3 linked regions of the Cricetulus griseus genome follow. The protein of the gene in region 3 interacts with the protein of the main gene of each other region in a biochemical or structural test. Links are inferred from orthologs where the notes say so. Each region holds a gene or a part of one and is shown on either strand. Other genes may lie near its edges.

The links.
Region 1: the proteins of Foxa2 (region 3) and Hoxa5 form a complex in vitro, tested with the Homo sapiens proteins (2 studies listed by BioGRID). The link is inferred for Cricetulus griseus from reciprocal best matches to the Homo sapiens genes FOXA2 and HOXA5.
Region 2: the proteins of Foxa2 (region 3) and Otx2 form a complex in vitro, tested with the Homo sapiens proteins (2 studies listed by BioGRID). The link is inferred for Cricetulus griseus from reciprocal best matches to the Homo sapiens genes FOXA2 and OTX2.

Annotation. Positions count from the first base shown.
Region 1 is NC_048601.1:89,139,885-89,143,630, reverse strand, and holds the start of Hoxa5 (homeobox protein Hox-A5), read right to left. Parts: upstream 2,241-3,746; 5' UTR 2,208-2,240; coding exon 1,313-2,207; intron 325-1,312; coding exon 74-324; 3' UTR 1-73. UniProt on the Homo sapiens protein: Sequence-specific transcription factor which is part of a developmental regulatory system that provides cells with specific positional identities on the anterior-posterior axis. Also binds to its own promoter.
Region 2 is NW_023276807.1:204,712,335-204,716,080, reverse strand, and holds the start of Otx2 (homeobox protein OTX2), read left to right. Parts: upstream 1-1,499; coding exon 1,500-1,596; intron 1,597-2,547; coding exon 2,548-2,723; intron 2,724-3,746. UniProt on the Homo sapiens protein: Transcription factor probably involved in the development of the brain and the sense organs. Can bind to the bicoid/BCD target sequence (BTS): 5'-TCTAATCCC-3'.
Region 3 is NC_048599.1:30,937,048-30,940,793, forward strand, and holds Foxa2 (hepatocyte nuclear factor 3-beta), read left to right. Parts: upstream 1-848; coding exon 849-935; intron 936-1,965; coding exon 1,966-3,279; downstream 3,280-3,746. UniProt on the Homo sapiens protein: Transcription factor that is involved in embryonic development, establishment of tissue-specific gene expression and regulation of gene expression in differentiated tissues.

The sequences.
Region 1 (3,746 bases), on a different chromosome or scaffold from region 3:
CAGAAAGTCACCTTAGTACTGACACTACGGAGAGCTCCGCTAACACTGCTCAGTACTTTGAGCGCCCACAGGCTCAGGGGCGGAAGGCCCCTCCCGCTGCAGCCATACTCATGCTTTTTAGCTTATTATCTTTTTTCCATTTCATTCTCCGGTTTTGGAACCAGATTTTAATTTGTCTCTCGGAGAGGCAAAGAGCATGCGCTATTTCAATCCTTCTTCGGCGGGTCAGGTAGCGGTTGAAGTGGAATTCCTTCTCCAGCTCCAGGGTCTGGTAGCGCGTGTAGGCCGTCCGGGCCCTTTTGCCTTCTGGGCCACCTATGTTGTCTGCAACAGAAAAGTGAGCGGTTTAGCCACCAACTAACTCCTCAGCACCTGGTTCCAAGAGTCAGCCAGGGTCCTGAGCTGGGAAAGAGGCTCAACAAGTCCTCCCTCCCTCCCTCCCTCCCTCCCTCCCTCTCTCCCTCCCTCCCCGCCTGTCCTTTCCGAATTTCCTTCTCTCTTCCTTTCTGAAGAGAAAAACAACATGATTTGGACTCTGGATACAACCGGCCCACCTGAGGCTGGAACCCTGTCTTGAAGGACAGCCTGGCTCTCTCTCGCCCCCATTCTGCTCTTTGGCCCTGCACCAGTTGTCATAAGCAGGGGCACTGCCCTCTCTGGCTGCCCACCGCACCGAAGCACTGTCTTTTTCTGAGTTCCCAAGTGGCCTCCAGGTCACTCTCCGTTAAAGTTCCAGCCGCTCTAGCCGCCTCCTGTTCCAGCCTGTACGCTTGGGGCGCCCGCTCTCTTTTTCCTCTCTTTCCTTCCCTCTCTCTCTTGCCCCCAAACTTGAGAATCTCGCCTGCCCTCGCCTAGATTATTCCCCCCAAGCCCCTTTTAGGGGCTCTAATTAGTAACGCTGTTTCCCCAGCGTAGCCCTTCTCATAAATTATCCACCCTGACAAGCCCGATTCACGGCCCCTACTACCATCCCTACCTCTCTCCAAGCCCTGCTCGGCCGGCCTGACCCTGAAGCGCTCTCCGAGTCGCTGGGATTCCAGATGGAATTTCTTCCTCTTTCAACAACATCTAAACTTGCTCGGCTACCCCATTCTCCCCCTCCTCCCCCCAGTATTTGCGAATACAGGATGCTGCTGCAGTAATGGGGAGGAAGTAAAGAGAAAGGCAGGGGAAGGAGAACCGCAGGGAGAGGCTCTGCAGGCTGGAGAGAGGCGAGACTAGGAGAGAGACCCGGAGAGAGGCTGCAAAGAACAGAGGGTGACCGAGACCCGCGCCCCCACGGACGCGTGGATCAGAAAACGTCTGGCTTTACCGTGACTAATGTGCAGCTTGCGCATCCAGGGGTAGATCTGGGGCTGAGCTGGCGGCGCCGGGCTCGGCTCGCTCTGGGCGCTCGCCTGCTCGCTGCTGGCAGGGGCGTCCTCCTCGGTTGCGGACGCCGTGCCAACCCCCTCTCTGCTGCTGATGTGGGTGCTGCCGGCGTTGGCCGAGGCGCCGCTGGAGTTGCCCAGGGAGTTTTTCCCGCCGTGGTGGCTGTCGCTGCCGGGCGAGGGGGCCACCGCCGAGCAGGGCAGCGGATCGGGCGGAGGCGAGTGCGTGGACGTGGCCGGCTGGCTGTACCTGGGCTCGGCGGGCGCCGCACTGGCCCCGGCCGCGTAGCTGCGGGCGCGCTCGCCAGAGCCAAAGTGGCCGGAACCCGAACGGCCGACGCTGAGATCCATGCCATTGTAGCCGTAGCCGTACCTGCCGGAGTGCATGCTCGCCGAGTCCCTGAATTGTTCGCTCACGGAACTATGATCTCCATAATTATGCAACTGGTAGTCCGGGCCATTTGGATAGCGACCGCAAAATGAGTTTACAAAATAAGAGCTCATTTGTTTTTTGATATGTGTGCTTGATTTGTGGCTCGCGGTCGTTTGTGCGTCTATAGCACCCTTGCACAATTTATGATGAATTATGGAAATGACTGGGACATGTACTCGGTTCCCTCCTACGTAGGCACCCAAATATGGGGTACGACTTCGAATCACGTGCTTTTGTTGTCCAGTCGTAAATCCTGCCTGATGACCTCTAGAGGTAAACTCGTGCACTAATGGGGGAGTTGGGTGGAGGCGAGAGGGGTGGCGCGCGCGCCCTGGGCGCGTGCTCGCCACCCGCAGCCGCCGTTCAGTCGGACTCGAGCGCCACCCTCTGGAGGCAGGGAGCATCACATCGCTTCCGACCTCGGGCTGCAAGGGCCGGGGTCGAATTGAGGTTACAGCCCATTATGGCAAAATTATTGCATTTCCCTCGCAGTTCCATTAGGATGTACCAATTGTGAGGCCGTCAGCTGCCGATCGCACGCCCGGCGAGGATACGGAGGATTAGGGGGAGGTGGTGACTTGGAATTATTTACAACAACTTTATTTCCCTGGCTTTGTAGACCCTCTTATTTTTGTGTAGAGGTTGGGGTAGGTTCTGCCCGTCCGGCCCGCAGCTGTGAATTTTGAAAACACAGATATCACCTTCGGGGAATGGAAGACCATTTACCCAATTGAAGAAATAAATCCTTCCCACAGCAGCAGCCGCAATTATGGCTCTGTTTTTGTGAGCGCGTGAAGGACAGTGTCCCTGCCGCTCTTAAACGACAGGCGTCTATTAAAGACAGCTTTTGTGTAGTGTTTCTCCGAGGCGAGGTCAAATTCCATACACTCGTATAACCAGAGTCGATTTTTCTTTCGTGTAAATATGTTTTTCGTGTCATTAGTTTGTTATCTGATTTGATTATTTATCCAGCTCGGAATATCTTCATCCCTGGTCCGGTTCCTCCAGCCAGCCGGGTCCCAGGTAGCAAGGTTCTTGGTGAACCCAGAGAGTGGGCCCTGACTCTCTGCAGCCTCTGAGGCTGTTTGAAAGCTGGGATCCCTGGGTAGAGCTATTGGGGTCTTGCTTAGACCTCCAGGAATAAATTGCGGGAACTAATGGAATCATTTCGTGGCAGTGCCTAGTATCTCCGTAGTTATTTTCCTGGGCTCCGAGAAAGACCAAAGTAAATCACAAATGTAGCTGAGAGACAAGCAGATTCTCCCCACTAGAGGCCTGGCATCTCAGGCGTCCTTGGCACGCTTGGAAGTTAGGACTCTTCTGGCTCCCATGGTCCTGGGTCCCCTCTTTGGGTCCTGAGAGTTTCTAGGTGGCAGCGCCTAGCGCTGTACGAGGCAGGGAGTGGGAATCGGGAGCTGGGAGCCTGCGGAGAGCCTAGTCGCTCTAGAGGCTGTACTGTTCCACTCCCGGCCCAGGTTGGCTCGCCTCGGCTGAAGCTACGGTTCTCCGATTGACGGTTATGCGCCGGCAGAAAGACTTGGTTCTGTCGGGGAAGAGGGGAGTTCCCCTTTGTTCCTCCAGCTTCTTGTTTAGGGGCATCCTGAGAGGCTGCGACAGGGCTGGGGCCCAGCTCTTAGGCCCTTTCTTTCCAGTACCCAGAGCCGATTTGGCGATACCCTTCAAGATTTGATGGTGAGGGACCAAGGTGGTAAAACACAGATACCAAACCAGGCATTGCCTGGGGCTCTTTCTTTCCCCAACAACCCCGTGTCTGTAGCTCAGGGATCGCAGAGACTAACACAGCAGCCGGGCCAATTCTGGGTGCATCCCGGGACTCCCAGGCTGGCTCGAGCAGCTTTAGGGAGAGAACCTGTGTGTGTGTGTACAGTGCGTCTGTCCCACAGCTGACATTGGGTATTCGAGCTTTTGTTTTGTTTGTTTTC
Region 2 (3,746 bases), on a different chromosome or scaffold from region 3:
AGTTTCTAGGAGTGTCAAAGTTTCCAAGCAGAGATCTTGGTAAGATAGGTGCCGAATTTTAGGAAAATAAAAGCTAGTTTTGGATGCTGCCTGCCTGCCTATATTAACATAGCTCTGGGGGAGGGGACTCAGCAGAGGAACAGAAAGATTTTTCCTTTTCTTCCCCCAATCTCTTTTTCATATGTAATTATGGAACATTTGGAAGGTAGAGAGAATTCCTAGTAGTTTCGTAGCTTTGAATATTTATCTACTTCAAACTTAAAGTGTGGGGAAGACAGCTCCAGTTAGCAGGAATCAGAGGGGGCCGCCTCTGAGAACCCCAAATCCCCAAAATCTGCCTCCCCCAGGATCTGCAGCCCCATCAAATCAACATGGAAGCAGCTTGCTCTGCCAATGCGCTTCCCACTTGCAAAATGTGGGTGCCAACTTTTTTTTCTGATTGGTGGGATTCTAACTTTATTTCAACATTTCTGGCAAGCCCTGTGCTAATCTTTAAGACTTTTTTTTTGCAGTATGTTTAAATTAAATATTTGATGGGTGTCGCTTAAAAGTTAAATACTTGTTTGTTTAGCTATAGTTCTTTAGACACATATAATCAAGGTCCTACAAAACCCTAATAAATCTGTTACTTACCTCGAAATCTAATTATCCAGACTACTAATTAGGTGAAAATGATTACTGGAAATGACTTCAAATGTGGAATAATAGCGGTTGGGCAGTTTTCTCAAGTTTGTTGTTCAGCAAGTTGGTATTTTAAATGTTAAGTTGGTATTTTAAATGTTAAATACATTTACATTTTAGTTTCACAGCAGTTGAAAGTTGTAATAAAAAAAAAAAAGCTAAGATAATTAAAATCTCTGCCAGGGAAAGGCAACAGTCTGGGAAGAGGTAGATTTCTTGAATTGTTTCTTTGTTTCTCACCAATGGGCTTTGTTATCAGCATTATTTATTTAGCCAAAGAGTTCTTTGTCTCTGCAAATGGCCCCAATCAAGTTTTGTTTGAGACAATTAGCTAGTGCCAGCCAATGAGTCCTATGCAAATGTTGGGCTAGGAATGTAATGTGTGCATTTGGAGGCGTGGGGTTTTGTTCTTGGGGAAGGCAGATTGTAATTGCTTTCCTCGGGTCTTTTTTTTTTTTTTTTTTTTTTTGTTAAGTTTGGGGTGGGGGTGGGGAAGACAGGTTTATCTGGTCTCGCTCCATCCCCTCTAGTTTTGGAGCTGCTGGGGGTTGAGGGGACGGCGGGGGGCGCATCTGCAAGTCCTTTAAAAGCCTGTGTCTAGCGTCACCCTGGCTCTCTTTAGTTAGTGATGGAACGTGGAGGAAGCTGCTCCCTCAGAAGCAGTAAACCAGCATCTCTGTTTGTTTGCTTTGCCCCTAGTTCCATCACTCCAAACCCACCCACCAAGGACACTGACCCTGTCCACTCCAGGCGAATCGCGACCGTCCGGCTGGGTTCCCCCAATTTGGGCCGACTTTGCGCCTCCAAACAACCTTAGCATGATGTCTTATCTAAAGCAACCGCCTTACGCAGTCAATGGGCTGAGTCTGACCACCTCGGGTATGGACTTGCTGCATCCCTCCGTGGGCTACCCGGGTAAGTGAGTTACACGGCATTCTCAACGCCCTTCACCACCACGCTCACCCCTCAGGAGCTCGGAGGTTGGAGGGTTCACTGCCCTCACTCAAGCTCCAGACAGGGTCCCCACTGCGTTTTGCTTGTCACGAAGCAGCCGAGAGCCACTGGGCATTTACTGACCCAAGAGGGAACAAGAAGCTGGGAAGAGACGAGTCTGGGGTTTGCAGCAGTCACAGAAAGTCACACCGCTTCATTCTTAAATTAGAGAGGCTTGGGGGACACTCATTGGGCAGGGTCGTGAAAGGTTGTTGACCTTGTCACTTGAATATGCTTTTGCCTAGTCTCCACGCCCAGTTTCTAACTAGTACCACCCTAAGAGTGATCAAGTTTTCTTCCCTACTGTACCCTATAGTTCTTCAGATTTGCCAGGGGTTTCTGGTGCCTCCAGGCCCCCTCCTTTAATCCTTGGAGGTGTGGCTTCCCTCCAGATGCTAGGCACCTTTCCTCCCCACCCGGCACCAAATACTCATAAAAGTCTGAACTATTGTTGTATTTTAAAGATGCAAGAACAAAGGTCCTTGCAGTGTTAAAATACCGTGGGAACTGGCTCCACGTTCGCCCAGTCATTTCTAGCCTCTGGTCCTTGCATAGCCTCTAACTTTACCAGACAGCCTTTTCTGTTGGCAGTGTGGTCTGTCGGTTGTTTCTTGTTTGTTTCCAGAATTGGGCATGAGGGTGGGAATTGTCTTTACTCGGTTTATTTTGTTAGCTCTCCAGTGGTGCTCTGTAGTTCAAGGGGACACTTGCAATGGGAGGCGGGGGATACTGCACTGCGGGGACACGACACTGTGTGTCCTGCTCTGTGTGTCCTGCTCTGGAGGGGGTGGGGATCCTCAGCGGTGGGAGGTTGGGGAGTCGTGCACCGAGGCAAAAGTCCCGTGACTGAGAAACTGCTCCCCCACCCTAAAGGGCCCTGGGCTTCTTGTCCTGCAGCCACCCCCCGGAAACAACGGCGGGAGAGGACTACGTTCACCAGGGCACAACTGGACGTTTTGGAAGCTCTGTTTGCCAAGACTCGTTACCCAGACATCTTCATGCGGGAGGAGGTGGCGCTGAAAATCAATTTGCCCGAGTCCAGGGTACAGGTAGGACATGTAGACACGTCCTCTCTGAAGTTTGGTGTATACAGCTCTTGAGCCAAAGAGGAGCTTGAAATTCTAAACATTCAGGAGCCAGTGAACCATTCTCCATTTGCTCTCTGCCCCTCTTAATCCAGTGAACCAGGGCCTTCTGGCCTGGTTGCAAGGTTAGAGCAGCAATTCAGCTGCAGACACAAAAGTACTAGATAGAGACTTTGGATCTCAGAGTCCCTGCAGTTGGAGATATCCAGTCGAGGGCAAAGTTCAAGGATAGTCAGTCACATGGTCCTTGTGTGGCCATCATGTTCGTGAATGGGAAACCGGGACAGTCTTTTTTCTTTTTAAGTACATGAAGAGATAGAGCGAGTAACTTTCTCCAGGCCATACCTGCTTTGATGACAGTCAGAAAGAGTGCTTTTACCAAATAAGTTGATACTGTGTGTGTGACTTATTGAGGACACAGTTTCCTAGCTGTTATTTAACAGACAAAATTTTTTATTCTTAATATCTGTGAAGATACCCCCTTTCTTGCTCTAGTTTCTCCCACATTTTTTACCCTGAAGGGAAGAAAAAATCAGCTACCTCTTGACTGTAGAGCAAACCCCATGTGGAGTTGGTGTTTGGCACCTCATCTATACGTATATGACACTTTCCTTTGGGCAGGACATGTTTTTGAAAGTGCCAGACGTCACTGTGAACTACAAAGCAGAAAACAGGATTTTTCAAAGCTGGTTGGAAAAAGTTTAAGCATTTGGTTGGAAAAAGTTTTGGCACTTGTAATTCTTGACCTAAAGCCCTCATTGTAAACAAAATGGCTTAGGATATCAGTGGTGCTGAGCTTGGCCTTGGGGGCATTACAGTTACAGCATCCAAATAGTCAATGACCTGTAGTCAATGTCACACTTTTAATCCCAGCACTAGGGTGACAGAGGCAGGCTGGTCTACAGAGTAAGTTCCAGGACAACTAGCTGTATGAGGAGACATGTCTGCCCCATCCTCTCCAAAAAATGAACTGTAGCTAAGACAAAT
Region 3 (3,746 bases):
ATAAATCAATCTGGCTAGCCTCGGCTCTGCGGGGCACCGAGGTCGTCCGCGCCCTCGGATTGATGCCCCGGGTGCTCAGGGAGAAAAGGGGGGTGGGGCAGGAGCAGGAGTCCAGAGCTTTTCCAGGGGTGGCCTGATCCCAGGTCCCTGCGTCCACGGAAGACTCCCCGTGGACGCAAAGAAAGGGACTCCACCAGGGCGCCCCCGACTCTGCTTGCAGGTTCGGGTCTTGGGAGTGCAGGCGGACAGCGGGAGCTGGGCTAGCTCTGGGCGGGGAACGGCAGGTGCTGAGAGCCGGCCCGGCTTCCTCTCACCTAAGTGTGAGCTGATTATTCAAATGGGCTGCCCGGGGTCTGGGGATTGGAGGCCTGCGCCAGCGCGCCGCGCTATATCACCAGCCGCCCACGTCACTGCGGCACTTGTCCGCTGTGCGGTCCACACCTCCTCCTCCCCCTCCTCTTGCTCTCCCCCCGCCCGCCCCCGCGCCGCTAGCTTCCCGCCGCCTCCCGGCAGCTCCACACTGCCAGCCTCAGCCAGCACCGGCAGCCCCGGGAGCGCGGCGACGGAGGGCACGCCCGACGGCAGGGCTCGGGCTCCAGCCTCCTAGGTTCTTTGGCCCCCTCCTCCGCCAGCCACCTTCCCGCCCACTCCCAGCTACCTCCCGCGGCAGGCCGCGGGAGAGAGAGGAAGTGGAGCCCAGAGAGAGAGGGGGAGAGAGAGAGCGCGAGCGAGCGCGAGAGAGGGCGGGAGGGAGGGGACGGTGCCTTAGCTGACTTTTTTTTTTTAAGAGGGTGGGGGTGGGGGCTGATTGCTGGTCGTTTGTTGTGGCTGTTAAATTTTAAACCGCCATGCACTCGGCTTCCAGTATGCTGGGAGCCGTGAAGATGGAAGGGCACGAGCCATCCGACTGGAGCAGCTACTACGCGGAGCCGGAGGTAAGCGCTTGCCTTCGCCCGGGGAAAGTGGGGTGGCAGCTATCTCCGCGTCCCCAGCCTCGGCACGCTCCCTTCAGGGGCAGTCGCCCCCCCCCCACCTCTAGTCTTCCTGGACAGCCGCCTTTTCCGCCCTCCTTCGACTCAAATGGGTCTCTTTTTTATACGACACACTGTTAGCCTTGAGATAATATTAACTTTGTGATCAAATATTGACTTGCGGCGCCTCCAAATCCTCTTCGTGGCCGAGCCACGCACTATCCTAACAGAGTTATGTTTGGCAGCGCGCGGCTGGGGAGGGGTGGGAGGTCGGCTGGCGAGGGGGTGGGGAGCTGGAAAAGAGAAGGTGGGTAGGAGTTGGGGACAGAGGTGCAGGCAAAGAGTCAAAGACTGTGGACAAAGAGAAAGTTTGTGGCTACGAAGCCCGGACACTAACAGTTCCTAGCCGATTTGGCGGTCCCTTCCCTATTCCTCCACGCAATGCCTCCAACTGCCCACGGGCTCTGCGCAGCCACTGCCCTTCACTCCCCTGTGACTAAGGAGTGGGGTCCCAGTACGAAGGTCCAGAATAGGGGACACTGGGAGTATTACCACTTGAGATCGCCCCAGTGACGTTCCAAAGGTGGCTTTTGGCGACCAGGGATAGCAACAGAGATTTCCAGTCTTGGTGCTGACTCAGTATGCTACCCGGGGGCGGCGGGGGTGGGGGGGTTGGTAGAGTCTCTGAGGATAGTAAAATCCATTTGGGGCGCCTGACTTGGTGGTGGTCCTGGGCACCGATATTCTAGAATCTGGGCGTGAAGTGAGCCACAAGTCCCCTGGCCACCTCTCCTCGGATGATCACCCGTACTGCTGCTCTCTTTGAGGTACCGAGGACTTGGTGTTGGTGGATTGGGATCCAGAGAAATAAAGAGATCCCCAGAAGCCTCCACGAAGGTGGAGGACTAGGTCCAACTGGTGTGTGTATGGAGGCGGGGGTCTGACACGCTCAGCCTAGGTGCTAACCAGTCTCCTCCCCGGGCTCTGTCCTCAGGGTTACTCTTCCGTGAGCAACATGAACGCCGGCCTGGGGATGAACGGCATGAACACTTATATGAGCATGTCCGCGGCCGCTATGGGAGGCGGTTCCGGCAACATGAGCGCGGGCTCCATGAACATGTCATCGTATGTGGGAGCTGGAATGAGCCCGTCCCTAGCTGGCATGTCTCCGGGCGCGGGCGCAATGGCGGGCATGAGCGGCTCAGCTGGGGCGGCCGGCGTGGCCGGCATGGGACCGCACCTGAGTCCAAGTCTGAGCCCACTCGGGGGACAGGCGGCCGGGGCCATGGGTGGCCTTGCTCCCTATGCCAACATGAATTCAATGAGCCCCATGTACGGGCAGGCGGGCCTGAGCCGCGCGCGGGACCCCAAGACATACCGACGCAGCTACACACACGCCAAGCCTCCCTACTCCTACATCTCGCTCATCACCATGGCCATCCAGCAGAGCCCCAACAAGATGTTGACGCTGAGCGAGATCTACCAGTGGATCATGGACCTCTTTCCTTTCTACCGACAGAACCAGCAACGCTGGCAGAACTCCATCCGTCATTCGCTGTCCTTCAACGACTGCTTTCTCAAGGTGCCCCGCTCACCGGACAAGCCCGGCAAGGGCTCCTTCTGGACCCTGCACCCCGACTCGGGCAACATGTTCGAGAATGGTTGCTACTTGCGCCGCCAGAAACGCTTCAAGTGTGAGAAGCAGCTGGCGCTGAAGGAAGCCGCGGGTGCGGGCGGTGTCGGAGGCAAGAAGACAGCTGCTGGGACCCAGGCTTCGCAGGCTCAGATCGGAGAAGCCGCGGGCTCGGCCTCCGAGACTCCGACTGGCACCGAGTCCCCCCATTCCAGCTCTTCACCATGTCAGGAGCACAAGCGAGGCGGCCTGGGCGAGCTGAAGGGAACACCGGCCTCCGCGCTGAGTCCCCCAGAGCCGGCGCCCTCGCCTGGGCAGCAGCAGCAGCAAGCTGCAGCTCACCTACTGGGCCCACCTCACCACCCGGGCCTACCACCGGAGGCCCACCTGAAGCCAGAGCACCATTACGCCTTCAACCACCCCTTCTCTATCAACAACCTCATGTCCTCCGAGCAGCAACACCACCACAGCCACCACCACCATCAACCCCACAAAATGGACCTCAAAGCCTATGAACAAGTCATGCACTACCCTGGGGGTTATGGTTCCCCCATGCCAGGCAGCTTGGCCATGGGCCCAGTCACGAACAAAACGGGCCTGGATGCCTCGCCCCTGGCTGCAGACACCTCCTACTACCAGGGAGTGTACTCCAGGCCTATTATGAACTCCTCCTAAGAAGATGGCTTTAGGCCTGGCTAGCTCTGGCCACCAGGAGAAGGACCAGAGAAAAGAGAGGCTGCCTGGAGACTTAGAGCTTTGAGGAAGAAGTAGTCACCACACTTCAGGCCCTAAGAATGCAGTCTCACCCAACTGCCTGTGCCCCTAAATAGATGGTCCACGGTGATCTGTCCTTCTAAATAGGGAAGAGAATGGAAATATATACATATATATACATATATAAACATTTTTAAAGGAGCCTTTGGTTTCCACCCTGTAGACTCCTCCTCAAGGCACCTGCAGATTCTGATTTTTGTTGTCGTTCTCTATTGTTGATGTTGCAGGGAAGTCTGACTTAAAACAAAAACTTTTGTGAGTGACTTGGTGTAAAACCATGTAGTTTTAACAGAGGGTTGTACTGATGTTTAAAAGGAGAAAAACAATAATGTAAGAGAGTCTGGTGTAAATGACCAGGAGAAAGAAAA